Linked DNA regions of Anolis sagrei. The protein of the gene in region 1 binds, or shares a complex with, the protein of each later gene. Links are inferred from orthologs where the notes say so. Each region holds a gene or a part of one and is shown on either strand. Other genes may lie near its edges.

Evidence for each region. The genes of interacting proteins can lie anywhere in the genome.
Region 2: the proteins of NFS1 (region 1) and LYRM4 are in contact, whole or in part, in a crystal structure (PDB 6W1D), measured with the Homo sapiens proteins. The link is inferred for Anolis sagrei from reciprocal best matches to the Homo sapiens genes NFS1 and LYRM4. Residues at the interface, in NP_066923.3 of Homo sapiens: Leu56, Arg57, Pro58, Leu59, Pro68, Leu69, Pro71, Arg72, Leu74, Asp75, Leu78, Glu314, Tyr317, Arg321, Asp372, Arg412, Phe413, Thr414, Thr415, Glu417, Glu418, Tyr421; in NP_065141.3 of Homo sapiens: Phe23, Tyr26, Asn27, Tyr28, Thr30, Tyr31, Arg34, Arg35, Asp38, Val65, Arg68, Gln69, Ile72, Thr78, Asp79, Lys80, Leu81, Ile82, Ile83, Asn85.

Annotation. Positions count from the first base shown.
Region 1 is NC_090024.1:207,092,753-207,100,568, forward strand, and holds the start of NFS1 (cysteine desulfurase), read right to left. Parts: upstream 3,046-7,816; 5' UTR 2,998-3,045; coding exon 2,916-2,997; intron 1-2,915.
Region 2 is NC_090024.1:86,268,201-86,275,809, reverse strand, and holds the start of LYRM4 (LYR motif-containing protein 4), read right to left. Parts: upstream 3,045-7,609; coding exon 2,959-3,044; intron 1-2,958.

The DNA of each region.
Region 1 (7,816 bases):
TGATGAAATTGACAGTCTGCTAATGTTTAAAGTAGTCTATTTCATTGTCAAAACATTTTCAGATGTATGCTACTGGGTTCCCATTAGAGTTACCAAAGCAAATCTATCAACTCAGAGCTTTCGTTTAAAGAACTCCCTCCGAAAGAAATTGCAGTAGCTTTGCATCAATAAGTCTTTCATCACTGACAGCAGGATACAACTACACTGCCCTGGGTTATAAAAGGAGGAAGAGAAATGTAGACTTATGCAACGCTAGGAGAAAGAGCTGTTCCTGTCTGAACCATGGGCTAATGCAGGGAGGAGGGAAGACATTTGTCACAGCCCGAATTATCCGGGTCGATGGTGCGTGAAATACCTTTGTTGACAAAATCCTTACTCACGCTCTGCTTCCACTATCACCAAATATTACATCTGATTTATAGTTATGTAATTTAACTATAATGATTACATATGTCGTAGAATCAATGCAGTTGACACCACTTTAACTGCTAGGGAACCATAGGAGTTGTAGCTTTAGGAGGTTTTTTGCCTTCTCTGCTGGTGACTCACCAAACTACCACTCCCAGGATTCCATAGCACTGTACTATTCCACCCAAAGCAGTACCAAAATAAATTAATTCTACAGTGTAGATCAGGCATGGGCAAACTTGGGCACTCCGGGTCTTTTGGACTTCCACTCCCACAATTCCTAACAGCCTACTGGCTGTTAGGAATTGTAGGAGTGGAAGTCCAAAAGACCCAGAGGGCCCAAGTTTGCCCATGCCTGGTGTAGATGCACCCTATGTTGTTAACTGCATCAAAGAGGGGTGTTAACAAATAAAATATGATGACTATTATTATTACTAGTAGTAATAATACTAGTGGTATTAGTGGCGAAGTGCTGAGGTGCTGAACTTGCTGTCTGAAAGGTTGGCGGTTCAAATCCAGGGCGTGGGGTGAGCTCCTGCGGTTAGCCCCAGCTTCTGCCAAACTAGCAGTTCAAAACATGCAAAACATGCAAATCAGTAGATCAGTAGGTACCACCTTGGTGGGAAGGTAATGGTGCTCCATGCAGTCATGCTGACCACATCACTTTGGAGATGTCTATGGACAACACCAGCTCTTCAGCTTAGAAATGAGGTAACCACCACCCACCAGAGTCGGACACGACTAGACTTGATGTCAGGGCAAACCTTGACCTTTTTACTAGTAGTACAACTACACTGAAAGGCAGTAATGGAAAAATACAGCCTAAAGTGCAAACCTTATCTAACTTGAGATCTTATCTAATGTGTAGTGGCGCAGTGGGTTAAACCACTGAGCTGCTAAGCTTGTTGACTGAAAGGTCGCAGGTTCGAATCCAGGGAGGGGCATAAGCTTTCGCTGTCAGCCCAAGCTTCTGCCAACCTAGCAGTTCAAAAACATGCAAATGTGAGTAGATGAATAGGTACTGCTCTGGCGGGAAGGTAATGGCACTCCATGCAGTCATGCTGGCCACATGACCTTGGAGTGTCTACAGACAATGCCAGCTCTTCGGCTTAGAAATAGAGATGAGCAGCACACCCCAGAGTGAGACACGACTGGATTTAATGTCAGGGGAAAGCCAACCAGTCTCAACATGTGTTATGACAGTATTTCCTGCCCAGTTTACTGCGCTCCTGTAAAAATGTATTGCACTCATTGAATCTATACCTCAGCTATGTTTCTTTCAGCCGTATTATTTTTATATTGCTTTCAATTGTGCTGTTATTTGTTTTTATCTGATGTTTTAATTGGTTAAGTGTTTTAGTTGTGTGCGTTAATTGTAATTTTGGGCGTGTCCTTGTAAGGCGCCCCGAGTCCCCTAGGGGAGATGGTTGGCGGGGTATAAAAATAAAGTTATTATTGGGTTGTTGTAGGTTTTTCCGGGCTATATGGCCATGTTCTGGAGGCAATTTTTCTCCTGACGATTCGCCTGCATCTATGGCAAGCATCCTCAGAGGTAGTGAGGTCTGTTGGAAGTAGGAAAAATGGGGTTATATATCTGTGGAATGACCAGGGTGGGACAAAGGACTTTTGTCTGCTGGGGCTAGGTGTGAATGTTTCAGCTGATCACCTTGATTAGCATTCAATGGCTTGGAAGTGCCTGGGGGGAATCCTTTGTTGAGAGTGATTTTATGTGCCTGTTTGTTTCCCCTCTGTTGTTTTGCTGTTGTAATTTTTGAGTTTTTTAATACTGGTAGCCAGATTTTGTTTATTTTCATGGTTTCTTCCTTTCTGTTGAAATTGTCCATATGCTTGTGGATTTCAATGGCTTCTCTGGAGTTGAAGTCCAAAACACCTGCAGGGCCCAAGTTGGCCCATGCCTGCTGTGGAATCATGGGGTTTGTAGTTCGGTAGCTTTTAAACAGAGGCTGGATGGCCATCTGTCAGGGGTGATTTGAATGCAATATTGTTGTGTCAATATTGTATATTGTGCTCTAATGGTTTTAAATTGTATATCGTTGATTGATCTTATCCTTGTTGTAAACCGCGTTGAGTCGCCTGTTAGGCTGAGAAACTGCGGTATACAAGTAAAGTAAAGTAAATAAATAAATATTCCTGCTTCTTGGCAGGGGGTTGGACTGGATGGCCCATGAGGTCTCTTCCAACTCTTTGATTCTATGATGATGATGATGATTATATAACCAGTCTGCCCTTGCTCAGCCACAACAAAACTCTTGCCATCCCTGACAAGCCGCACCAGCTGCTTTCCCTAAAAACTCAAGCTCCAAGACTGCATGCGATGGGGTCTTGGGAGTTGTAGCTTTACAAGGCCTTTCTCTTTCCTTGCCAAGGGGTGCTGGTGCCTTGCTATCATGATTCCATAACACTGAGCTTTGGCAGTTCAAGGGGTGCGTTATTTCCGCCCCTGGGTGACTCCTGAAGGCACTTAGGAAGTCGAAGGGGAGGCTTACCTTCTTGCTGAGCGGGGCCCGAGAGCCTCCTGGCCTGGAAGACCCGCCAGACCCGCCGCGGCGCATGCCTCAGCACCCACATCGCGCCTGCCTGCCTGGCCCTGGCTCTCTCTCTCTCTCTCTCTCTCTCTCTCCTTCAGAGACGACGCCAGAGGGAGGCTGGTTTCCTGTGACATCACCAGGGCGCGACGGAAGCGTCGCCCCAAGGAAGAAAAAGAAGGCAGAGCGGGGTTTGGCGGAGCTCGGAGCGGTCGAGGTAAAGAGGGCTGTTTGAGGGGGCCTCTTCTGAGGAGAGGGGGGAGAAGGAGGGAGCTCTCAAGCCTTCTTAGCAAAAAGTTCCTTTTCTCCCATTGAGCAAGAGAAATGACCCTGGTAAAAAGGACTCCTTGACCCGCATGGGCGACAGGAAAGCTCCACAGGCCTTGTCCTGGGTTATGTCACATGCTGTAGGACAGGCGTGGGCCAACTTGGGCCCTGCAGGTGTTTTGGACTTCAACTCCCACCATTCCTAACAGCCTCAGGCCCCTTCCTTTTCCGGCTGAGGGGGAAAAGGAAAGGGCCTGAGACTGTTAGGAATGGTGGGAGTTGAAGTCCAAAACACCTGCAGGGCCCAAGTTGGCCCATGCCTGCTGTGGAATCATGGGCTTTGTCGTTTGGTAGCTCTTTCACAGAGAACGCTAAAGGCCCTGTAAAACTACAAGTCCTAGGTTTTGGAAAATGGCTATGATGGCACGCCGGGAAGATCTAATGAGAAACTAAATGTGTCTGGCTATTTTCCCAGTGACCATCGGTATGCCCTAAATTACTATAATTCCCCCAAAATAAAACTCTACAAACAAGATTAAGTTCAACAATTGTTTACTGAATAATCAAGGTATAAAAGTACAGTTTGATTATGATGGTGTTAGAACAGTGAAATATAAACTCTGAGGTAACAAACTATAATTTCTATGAGGTAAGTATTCTATAAACCAGGGGTCCTCAAACTAAGGCCCGGGGCCAAATGCGGCCCTCCAAGGTCATTTACCCGGCCCTCGCTTAAGGTCAACCTAAGTCTATAGCGACTTGAAAGTACACAACAACAACAACCTATCTCATCAGCCAAAAACAGGCCCACACTTCCCATTGAAATACTAATAAATTTATATTTGTTAAAATTATTCTTCATTTTAATTATTGTATTGTTTTTAAGTGGTTTTTGCACTACGAATAAGATATGTGCAGTGTGCATAGGAATTCATTCATGTTTTTTTCAAATAATCCGGCCCTTCAATAGTTTGAGGGAGTGTGACCTGGCCCTCTGTTTAAAAAGTTTGTGGACCCCTGCTATAAACTATGGCAAGTGTGTGCTATAACTATGGCATATATAACTATTAACTATTGGGGGATGTATATTCTAATCTATGAGGTAAGTATTCTATAAACTATAAACTCTAAGGCATGTATTATCTAAGAATTCTATGAAGCATATATTATCTATTCTTTATAACATCTACTATAAACTCTAAAGCAAATATGTGATAAGGATGGCCTGTACGGACTGCAAACCAGACCAGACACTTTTCTGGCAACTATCTATAAACTATGACCAAAAGGAATGGAGCCAAAAAGTCTTTCACCAGGCAGAATGGGCTGAACCAAAGAGCTCAGCCTATAGGGGGAGCCTAAGCTCCTACTCTAAAACTTAACAGAATGGAACCGTCTAACTCCAGGGAAATAAACAGGAAAATGAACTAGGCCGAGACATCACAGGCATTCATAACCTTTTGGAGTTGTTGTTGTTCATTCGTTCAGTCGTTTCCGACTCTTCGTGACCGCATGGACCAGCCCACAGCAGAGCTCCCTGTCGGCCGTCATCTTACACTTAGGCGATCCCTCGTTGGATGAGTAAGATAGTCTTCCATGATCTGTATTCTTGTGGATCCGTAGGTGGCTGTGGAACCCTATTTTTGACCTGCATCTTCTCCCACAGTGAGGACATTGGTTTCCAGGTGGAAGGCGGTCTCGGTCGGGGTTGGCTTGATGTGCCTTCCTCCTGGCATGTTTCTCTCTTCAAATTCTGCAGCACTGCTGGTCACAGCTGACCTCCAGCTGGAGCGCTCAAGGGCCAGGGCTTCCCAAAGATGGAGAAGAAAGTTGGGGCAATAACACTTCCCTATTTGATGCCTGATTCCACCTTAAATGGGTCACTTTGGGAGCCATTGCTGTCCAAGACTGTTGCCATCATGGAGGAGCCACAGGATTTTCGCAAATTTGTTAGGGCATCCGATTTTTTGGAGGATGGTCCAGAGAGCGCTGCGATTCACTGTGTCGAATGCCTTTGCAAGGTCCATGAATGCCATGTACAGAGGTTGATTTTGTTCCCTGCATTTTTCTTGGAGCTGTCATCCAGTGAAGATCATGTCCACTGTTCCTCTGGAGGGGCGGAAGCCATCACCACCCCCAGCTCCTTCAAGGTCAATCCAGTCACTTCCAAGGATCCCATCCAGCCATCTTGCCCTTGGTCGGCCCTTCTTCCTTTTTTCTTCCATTTTCCCCAGCATAATTGTCTTCTTTTGGAGATTATATTTTTTTTTATAAAAGCATGACATTTCTTTCAGAGAAGAGTCAAAAACCCTCTAGATCAATAGTTCCCAACCTGTGGTCTGTGGGGATCCTCAACATTTGTTTATTTATTTATTTACAGTATTTAAATTCCGCCCTTCTCACCCCCCAGGGGACTCAGGGCGGATTACAATGTACATATACCTGGCGAACATTCAAGGACATAGACACACAACATATATAGACAGACACACAGAGACTATTTAACTTTCCAGCTTTCATGCGACAATTCTGGCCACCAGGGGAGCTGTCGCTTCACCGTCCATTTAAGACACTGATGGAGTACTTCCTCATTCTTTGCTTGCTTGCTTGCTTGCTGGAGATTTTATGGCATTGTAAATTAGTTAAATTAGCCTCCCCACATAAGCGATACCTAAATTTCCTACTTGACAGATGCAACTGTCTTTCGGGCTACAAAGGTCAACAGCAAGCTACACACAATGGTCGGAAGCTCACTCTGACCCGGACTGGTTTCGAACTCATGATCTTTTGGTCAGTAGTGATCTTAATGCAGCTGACTCCCAGCCAGCTGCACCACAGTCCCAGTTCATGGCCTCACTGTTACTACACTGTTGCAACGAGCGCGACTGGTCACACAAAACCCTCTTATAGTGCCGAGGCTTATTAAATATGGTTTTCTGTTGGCAAGTAGATAGTGACTACTGGATGGGATATGTTCTGTATCAGAAACTAGAGCTGATGTGGTTTATCCACTGCAATTTTCTGAATCAGCACGTCAAATAACAAAGCTGAACCTAAAGTTGACTAAATCAGATTTGTTAGCCCCCTCCTTAGCAGACTTCAAGAAAAACCTGAAAACCTGGCTTTTCCATTGTGCCTTTGGAGAGTGACCATCCATTCCATTTGTGTTACCCCTATGATGCACTTTTCCCCATTCTAAACTGAAAGCCTTACCCCACTGTTTCATTTTCCCTTACATATTTTCTATTCTTGGAGCCCCCGGTGGCGCAGTGGGTTAAACCACTGAGCTGCTAAACTTGTTGACCGAAAGGTTCGAATCCGGGAAGTGGTGTAAGCTTCCGCTGTCAGCCCCAGCTTCTGCCACCCTAGCAGTTTGAAAACATGCAAATGTGAGTAGATCAATAGGTACCACTCCGGCGGGAAGGTAACGGCACTCCATGCAGTCATGCTGGCCACATGACTTTGGAGGTGTCTACGGACAACAGCAGCTCTTCGGCTTAGAAATGGAGATGAGCACCAGCCCCCAGAGTCGGAAATGACCGGACTTAATGTCAGGGGAAAACCTTTTACCTTTACCTATTTTCTATTCCTACCTCACCCAGGGTTTTGTCATTTTACCTCATCAATTTGGCCTGCCCACCCTGTTTGATTTTATTGTGTGAATTTGCTTTATTATTTTACTTTGTTATTATAATTTTATTTTCTGATGCATTTTGTTTCTTGTATTCTGTATTTTATTGTGTTGTATTGTATTTTAAAGGGCTTGGCCTCATGTTAGCTGCCCCAAGTCCCCATTGGGGAGATGGTGGTGGGGTATAAATAAAGTTTATTATTATTTATTATTACCCTTTTGATACAAACGTAGAATCAATGCAATTCGACACTGTTTTTAACTGCCACAGCTCAATGTTATAGAGTTGTGGGAGTTGTAGTTTTGCAATGTCTTTCATCTTCTCTCCCAGTTAGTGCTGGTGCCACATCAAAGTACAACTCCGATTATTCCACAGCATTCATCTGTGGCAGTTAAAGTGGTGCCAAACTGCTGTAATTCTACAATATAATGCATCCTCAATGGGTTATACAGACAAATGGAACTGCAGTTTGTACCTCCCTCTCTTGTGGTGCCGATTCACAAGCTGCCCCAAATGTGCTACAAGACCCTGAGTGCTGAGTGTGTCATGCCTTCCTCTCTCTGAGTTTCAAAACTTGTATTCTTCCTATTGAGTGATTTCTGAAGCATCTGCACTGATGGTGCTTTCAGTAGGTACTTTCCATTAAGTTCATTCCCTTACAGGAGCATGAATAATGCAATCAAGGAGCACTTAAAGCCTGAATCATTTCCAAATTGGTATTGCTCTGCCACTGTTTGTCTATTACTGTGTAAACAACTACAGATTCAAGGTCCAGATCACTTTCATTTCACCAAACAAAAGTCTTAGTAGTGAAATTATTGAATAGTTACTAAACTCATTGATCTACCACGTTATGCATTCTGAAATGGGTCAATTTCTCTAATGTTAAATTTTGTTGGTTTTGGTTGTTGTTAATAATTGTTTTTGTTGGGGTTTTTTTCCTTTTCTTTTAGTTGAGCTCAA
Region 2 (7,609 bases), about 120 Mb from region 1:
GTTTTGTTTTACCAGAACTTTTTAAAAACTATTAATACTATTACCATTATGAAGGAAACACTCCCAAGGACGCAACATCAAAATACCTGGAAGTTATCCTGGACCGTGCTCTGACTTATAAGAAGCACTACTTGAATATCAAGCAAAAAGTGGGTGGTAGAAATAATATCATACGAAAGCTGACTGACACAACTTGGGGATCACAACCAGACACAGTGAAGACATCTGCCCTTGAGCTTTGCTATTCTGTTGCTGAATATGCATGTCCAGTGTAGAACACATTTCACAGTTAAAATAATGGATTTGGCCCTTAATGACACATACACATTATCACAGGATAATGTAATAATGTAATAATGTCATGCCCCACATCACTGGAAGAAGTATACTGTTAGCTGGTTTTGCACCACCTGACATCCACCAGGAAGTAGCAGCCAATAATGAAAGGGCCAAGGCAGAGACATCTCTGGCCCATTCTCTGTTCGGATATCAGCCAGCACATCAACGCCTTAAATCAAGAAATAGTTTTCTAAGATCTACAAAGATACTTGCAGGAATGCCTCCACAAATGATAATCCAAAAATGGCAGGCTAAAACCTGGAACCTCAATCTACGGCTGATACCAAATGAGAGACTCCCTCCTGGGCACAGAGAAGACTGGGCAACTTGGAAGGCACTGAACAGACAGCGTTCTGGCACTACGAGATGCAGAGCCTGACATTGCTAATATTAATAATAGTATTTTATTATCATCTATCATTGTGGTATTATTATAGCATTATTATCATTGTATTCATATTATTATGATAAATTATGGTGGTGTCATATTCATCATGGTGGTATTATCACTATGTCATACAATTTGAAAAAGATTCTGTTCCTGGTTTGAAAGTACAATTTCCTGTTAAATTTTGCAATATTTACTTTGAAAGTTGTTATATTTCAGAAACATCATTTTTGTAGCTGCCACAAACTGCTGAATTGGTTGAGACTCAATCAGGTTGCTATAAGGAATTTATTGGTTTGAATCTGTTTTAATCTTTACTTTGTATGTTCTTATTGTATTGTTAGCTGCTTTGAGTCTTGCCTTGGTGTGGGAGAAAAGCGGGGTAAAAATTGACTCCAATAAATAAATATTGTGATTCATAATGCCATATACTATGTAATAGTGTATAATAATACCACCATGATAATAACAATAACACCATAATAATAACACCATAAACAATAATATTGTGTTACATAGTGTATGGTGTTATTATTATTAATCTTGGTGATATAATTATTAATTATGGTGTTATTCTTGTTATTAACCATGGTGTTATTATTCATTATGGTGTTACTATTATTAATTATGGTATTACTGCTATTAATCATTGTGGTATTATACATTCTGGTGTTATTATTACTAGTGATCACAGTGGTATGAATAATAATATCATACACTATGTAACACAATTTAATATTAATATTAATTCTGGTGGTGTTATTATTAATGATGGCAGCAGTATTATTAGTTATTGTGTTATTATTGATCATGGTGGTATGAATAATAATAATAATAATAATAATACCATACACTATGTAAGATGATTTTCATATCATGGTGGTGTTATTATTAGTTATGGTGCTATTCTTATTATTGTTATTATTGATCATGGTGGCATGAATAATACCATACATTATGTAACACGATTTTAATATTACAGTGGTATTATTATTAATGTTATTATTGTTATCATAAATAATAATAATAATAATAATACCATACACTATGTGGCACAATTTTAATATTATGGTGGTATTATTATTAAAGATGGGGTGTGGTGCTCATCTCCATTTCTAAGCCGAAGAGCCGGCATTGTCATGGTCATGTGGCTGGCATGACTGCATGGAGTACCATTACCTCCCTGCCGGAGCGGTATCTTTTTTTTTTGTTGTGTCAGGAGCGACTTGAGAAACTGCAAGTCGCTTCTGGTGTGAGAGAATTGGCTGTTTGCAAGGACATTGCCCAGGGGACGCCCGGATGATTTGATGTTTTTATCATCCTTGTGGGAGGCTTCTCTCATGTCCCTGCATGAGAAGCTGGAGCTGATAGAGGGAGCTCATCCGCCTATCCCCGGATTCAAACCTGCGACCTGTCGGTCTTCAGTCCTGTCGGCACAGGGGTTTAACCCACTGCACCACCGGGGGCTCCTTGCGGTACCTATTGATCTACTCACATTTGCATGTTTTTGAACTGCTAGATTGGCAGAAGCTAGGGCTGACCAAGGAAGCTCACGCCATTCTGAGACCTTTCGGTCAACAAGCTCAGCAGCTCAGCGCTTTAACCCACTGTGCCACTACTTATCATAGTGGTATGAATAATAATAATAATACCATATACTATATGACACAATTTTAATAATATAGAGGTATTATTATTAATTATGGTGTTACTGTTAATAATCATGGTGTTATTATTAATTATGGTATTACTGCTATTAAGCATGGCGGTGTTATTAATTATTGTGCTATTATTACTACTTAACATAGTGGTATGAATAATGATAGCATGAACTATGTAACACGATTTTAATGTTGTTATTATTATTGATCATGGTCGTATTATTGTGTTGTTATTATTGATCATGGTAGTATTATTATTAATTATATTGTTGTTATTATTGATCATGGTGGTATTAGTTAATAATAATTACAAGGACACCACCATGAAGAAGACACTTCCAGGTGAAGGGTCCTTAGCTCATAACAATAATAAAAATAATAATAATAACTGTATTAGCTCTTGAAGTTTTCCCACCCCGATCAGTGGATTTCTGAGGATAACATGAGGCTAGGAAGCATACTTTCTACATTCACTGGTGCCTATAAGGGATGAAGGAAACCCTGTGGACAGGGAGGCCTTTCTGGGCGTGGGGACGGGGCCGAGGCCTCTCCTCCTCCTCCTCGTCCTACCTGTACCCGTAGGCGGCGAAGGCCTGGCTCTCCCGCAGGAGGGCCCGGTAGAGGCGCAGCGCCTGAGCCCGCCGGGCTGCGGCCATGTTGTCAACACACGCGGAGGCCGCCTCCAGGCCCCGGCGCTCTTCTTAGGCCCTCCCTCCTTCCTTCCCTGCCTTTCCTTCCTTCCTCGAAGGCCGGTCCCGGAAGAGGAGGGCCCGGCGCTGGAAAGCAGCCGGCCGAGTCCCGCGTGGAGGCCGTGGGAGGAAGAGGAAGGTGAGTGGGAGGCGGGCGCGCGAGCCACTGGGCCTCCCTCCTCGCTATGCACTCTGGTGCAAGCCTGTAGCCAAGGGGCGGGTGAGGGGTGCAAACCAACCCCGAAAAGTTGCAAGTCAACCCAATCTATATAAATAAAAATGTAATGCTTGTTTGTGGGATTAACAGAACTCAAGAACCACTGGACGAATTGACACCAAATTTGGACACAAGACACCTAACAACCCAATGTATGGCCTTCACTCGAAAAAATTGATTTTGTCATTTGGGAGTTGTAGTTGCTGGGATTTATAGTTCACCTACAATCAAAGAGCATTCTGAACCCCACCAATGATGGAATTGGGCCAAACTTAGTACACAGGGCTCCCATGACCAACAGAAAAGACTAGAAGGGTTTGGTGGGCATTGACCTTGAGTTTGGGAGTTGCAGTTCACTTACATCCAGAGACACTGTGGACTCAAACAATGATGGAGTTGGACCAAACTTGGCACAAACCTATATAGATTTGTCAACTCCATCATTGTTTGTGTCCACAGTGGTCTCTGGATGTAAGTGAACTGCAACTCCCAAACTCAAGGTCAATGCCCACCAAACCCTTCTAGACATGGCATACAGGACTTCCATGACCAACAGAAATATATATATATATATATATATATATATATATATATATAGATTTGTGCCATATATATATATATAAATGCTCTGTGCATAATGAGTACCTTAAAAACAAAAGAGCCAATGAACAAAATCACACCAAATTTGGCTACAAAACATCTCACAACACAAGGAGTGACCATCACTCAAAAAATTATGATTTTGTCATTTGGGAGTTGTAGTTGCTGAGATTTATAGTTCACCTACAATCAAAGAGCATTCTGAATTCCACCAATGATGGAATTCATCCAAACATGGCATACAGGACTTCCATGACCAACAGAACACACTGGAAGGGTTTGGTGGGCATTGACCTTGAGTTTGGGAGTTGTAGTTCACCTACATCCAGAGAGCACTGTGGACTCAAACAATGATGGACCAAACTTGACACTAATATTCCATATGACCAAATATGAACACAGATGGAGTTTAAGGGAAATAGACCTTGACATTTGGTAGTTGTAGTTGCTGGGAATTATAGTTCACCTACAATCACAGAGCATTCTGAACTCCACCAATGATGGAATTGAACCAAAGGTGACACACAGGACTCCCATGACCAACAGAAAAGACTAGAAGGGTTTGGCAGTCATTGACCTTGTAGGAGTTGTAGTTCACCTACATCCAGAGACCACTGTGGACTCAAACAATGATGGATCCGGACCAAACTTGGCACAAATATGCCATATGCTCAAATATGTACACAGGTGGAGTTTGGGGGGGGGGGGGATAGACCTTGACATTTGGTAGTTGTAGTTACTGGGATTTATAGTTCACCTACAATCAAAGAGCATTCTGAATTCCACCAATGATGGAATTCATCCAAACATGGCATACAGGACTTCCATGACCAACAGAACACACTGGAAGGGTTTGGTGGGCATTGACCTTGAGTTTTGGAGTTGTAGTTCACCTACATCCAGAGACCACTGTGGACTCAAACAATGATGAATCTGGACCAAACTTGACACAAATACTCCATATGCCCAAATATGAACACAGGTGGAGTTTGGGGGGAATAGACCTTGGCATTTGGTAGTTGTAGTTACTGGGATTTATAGTTCACCTACAAACAAAGAGCATTCTGAACCCCACAAACAACAGAATTGGGACACATTTTCCACGCTGAACCCCATCACCAACAGAAAATACTTGAGGCCATCTAGTCCAACTCTCTTCACCAGGGCAAGAAAATCTAATCAAAGCCCTCCTGACAAAGAGCCATCCAGCCATAGATATATATAGATAGATATGATTCACACACACACACAGATGTAATATCATAGATTTTAAAGGGACCCCTAAAGAAGGACAATAATATATTGCATTTTCCAGAGTAGGCAAACCGGACACTTTCCACATCAACACTGACAAAGAGACAACAAGAAATACTGTTTACCCACAAGCATAAAGAAATTACATAGATTACATCTTTGATGACCCCTCTGACACACCCTCACGACCCCCCCCCGAGGGGTCCCAACCCCCAGGTTGAGAAACCCTGCCGTAGCCAAAGGGGCGGTTTAGGGGTTCAAACCAACCCCAAAATGTTGCAGGTCAACCCAATCCCAAATATATGAGAAGCAAAAATTAGAGTCCCTCCAGAACTACAAGCACTACCTCCACCCAATTTTGATTAGTCGCACTGTCATTACCCACCTTTCTACCCATTTAATAATAATAATAATAATAATAAACTTTATTTATACCCCACCACCATCTCCCCAAATTGGTGACATAGTGAAAGCGACCGAGTTGGTTTAGTAAAGGTAAAGGTTTCCCCTTGACACTAGTCGAATCCGACTCTGGGGAGTAGTGCTCATTTCCATTTCTAAGCTGAAGAGCCGGCATTGTCTATAGACACCTCCAAGGTAATGTGGCCAGCATGATTGCATCCAGCACCATTACCTTCCCGCAGAAGCGGTACCTATTGATCTACTCACTTTTGCATGTTTTCAAACTGCTAGGTTGGCAGAAGCTGGGGCTAACAGCGGGAGCTCAGCCCGCTCCCCGGATTCGAACCACAAACCTTTTAGTCAGCAGGGTCAGCAGCTTAGTAGTTTAACTGAGGTGTCTACTACTGCTTCATCTAATCCAGTGGTTCTCAACCTGTGGGTCCCCAGGTGTTTTGGCCTACAACTCCCAGAAATCCCGGCCAGTTTGCCAGCTGTCGGAATTTCTGGGAGTTGAAAGTCAAAACATCTGGGGACCCACAGGTTGAGAACCACTTATCCAAGCCCTGCCGAATAATAATAATAATAATAACAACAACAACAACAACAAGAAGAAGACAGAGTTTTGGAGCACAATACTCCTGACCTCCCAATTGTGTTAAAAAACAAAGTATGGATCTTCGATTTTTGGACAGGACATGAAAGTAACTTCCCTCTAGGAAAGTTACCTCTAGAAAAATCTAAAAAAACCTTTTGTCTAACGTTTGGCTGAAATTCTGAATTATCAAATGTAACTACGAAGATGGAGTTCTGCCATTGTAGCATTCCAGGTAAATAATAATAATAATATTCCCTCAGTTCTTGTGGGTTTTTTCGGGCTATATGGCCATGTTCTAGAAGCATTTCTCCTGACGTTTCGCCTGCATCTATGGCAAGCTTCCTCAGAGGTGAGGTCTGCTGGAGCTGGGAAAAAAGGGGGTTTATATATCTCTGGAATGACCAGGGTGAGACAAAAGGCTTTTGTAAGTTGGGCTGGGTGTGGATCTTTCAACTGACCACCTTGATTAGCATACAATGGGCTGACTGTGCCTGGAGCAAACTCTTCTTGAAAGGTGATTAGATGTCCCTGCCTGTTTTTCTCTCTGCTGTTTTTGCTGTTGCAATTTTATAATTTTTTAATACTGGTAGCCAGATTTTGTTCATGTTCATGGTTTCTTCCTTTCTGTTGAAATTGTCCACATGTTTGTGGATTTCAATGGCTTCTCTGTGTAGTCTGACATGGTGGTTGTGAGAGTGGTCCAGCATTTCTGTGTTCTCAAATAAAATGCTGTGTCCAGGCTGGTTCATCAGGTGCTCTGCTATGGCTGATTTCTCTGGTTGGAGTAGTCTGCAGTGCCTTTCATGTTCCTGGATTCTTGTTTGGGCAATGCTGCGTTTGGTGGTCCCTATGTAGACTTGTCCACAGCTGCATGGTATACGGTAGACTCCTGCAGAGGTGAGAGGATCCCTCTTGTCCTTTGCTGAACGTAGCATTTGTTGGATTTTCTTGGTGGGTTTGTAGATTGTTTGTATGTTGTGTTTCCTCATCAGCTTCCCTATGCAGTCAGTGGTTCCCTTGATGTATGGCAGGAACATTTTTCCTCTGGGTGGATCTTCATCTTTACTCTTGTGGCTTGTTCTTGGTCTTGCAGCTCTAATAATAATAATAATAATAATAATAATAATAATAATAATAATAATAGCACAGTTGCTCAGATGATTCGTTGGAACTTGTGCCACAAATACCATCTGCCTGCGAGAAAGAACTGGTGGGATCACAAGCTGGAAAAAGTTACAGAAAATGAACACGTCAAACTCCTCTGGGACTTCCAAATTCAGACAGACAGAGTTTTGGAGCACAATATTATTTACTTTGCTTATATACCGCTGTATCTCAAGCCCGAAGGCGACTCACGGCGGTTCACAAACAGTAAAAACAGTAGAAACAGCAGTGGTTCCATACAACATATAACAATTGACTTAACACATTATCCATAAATTACCAATAAGCAATTACAATGCA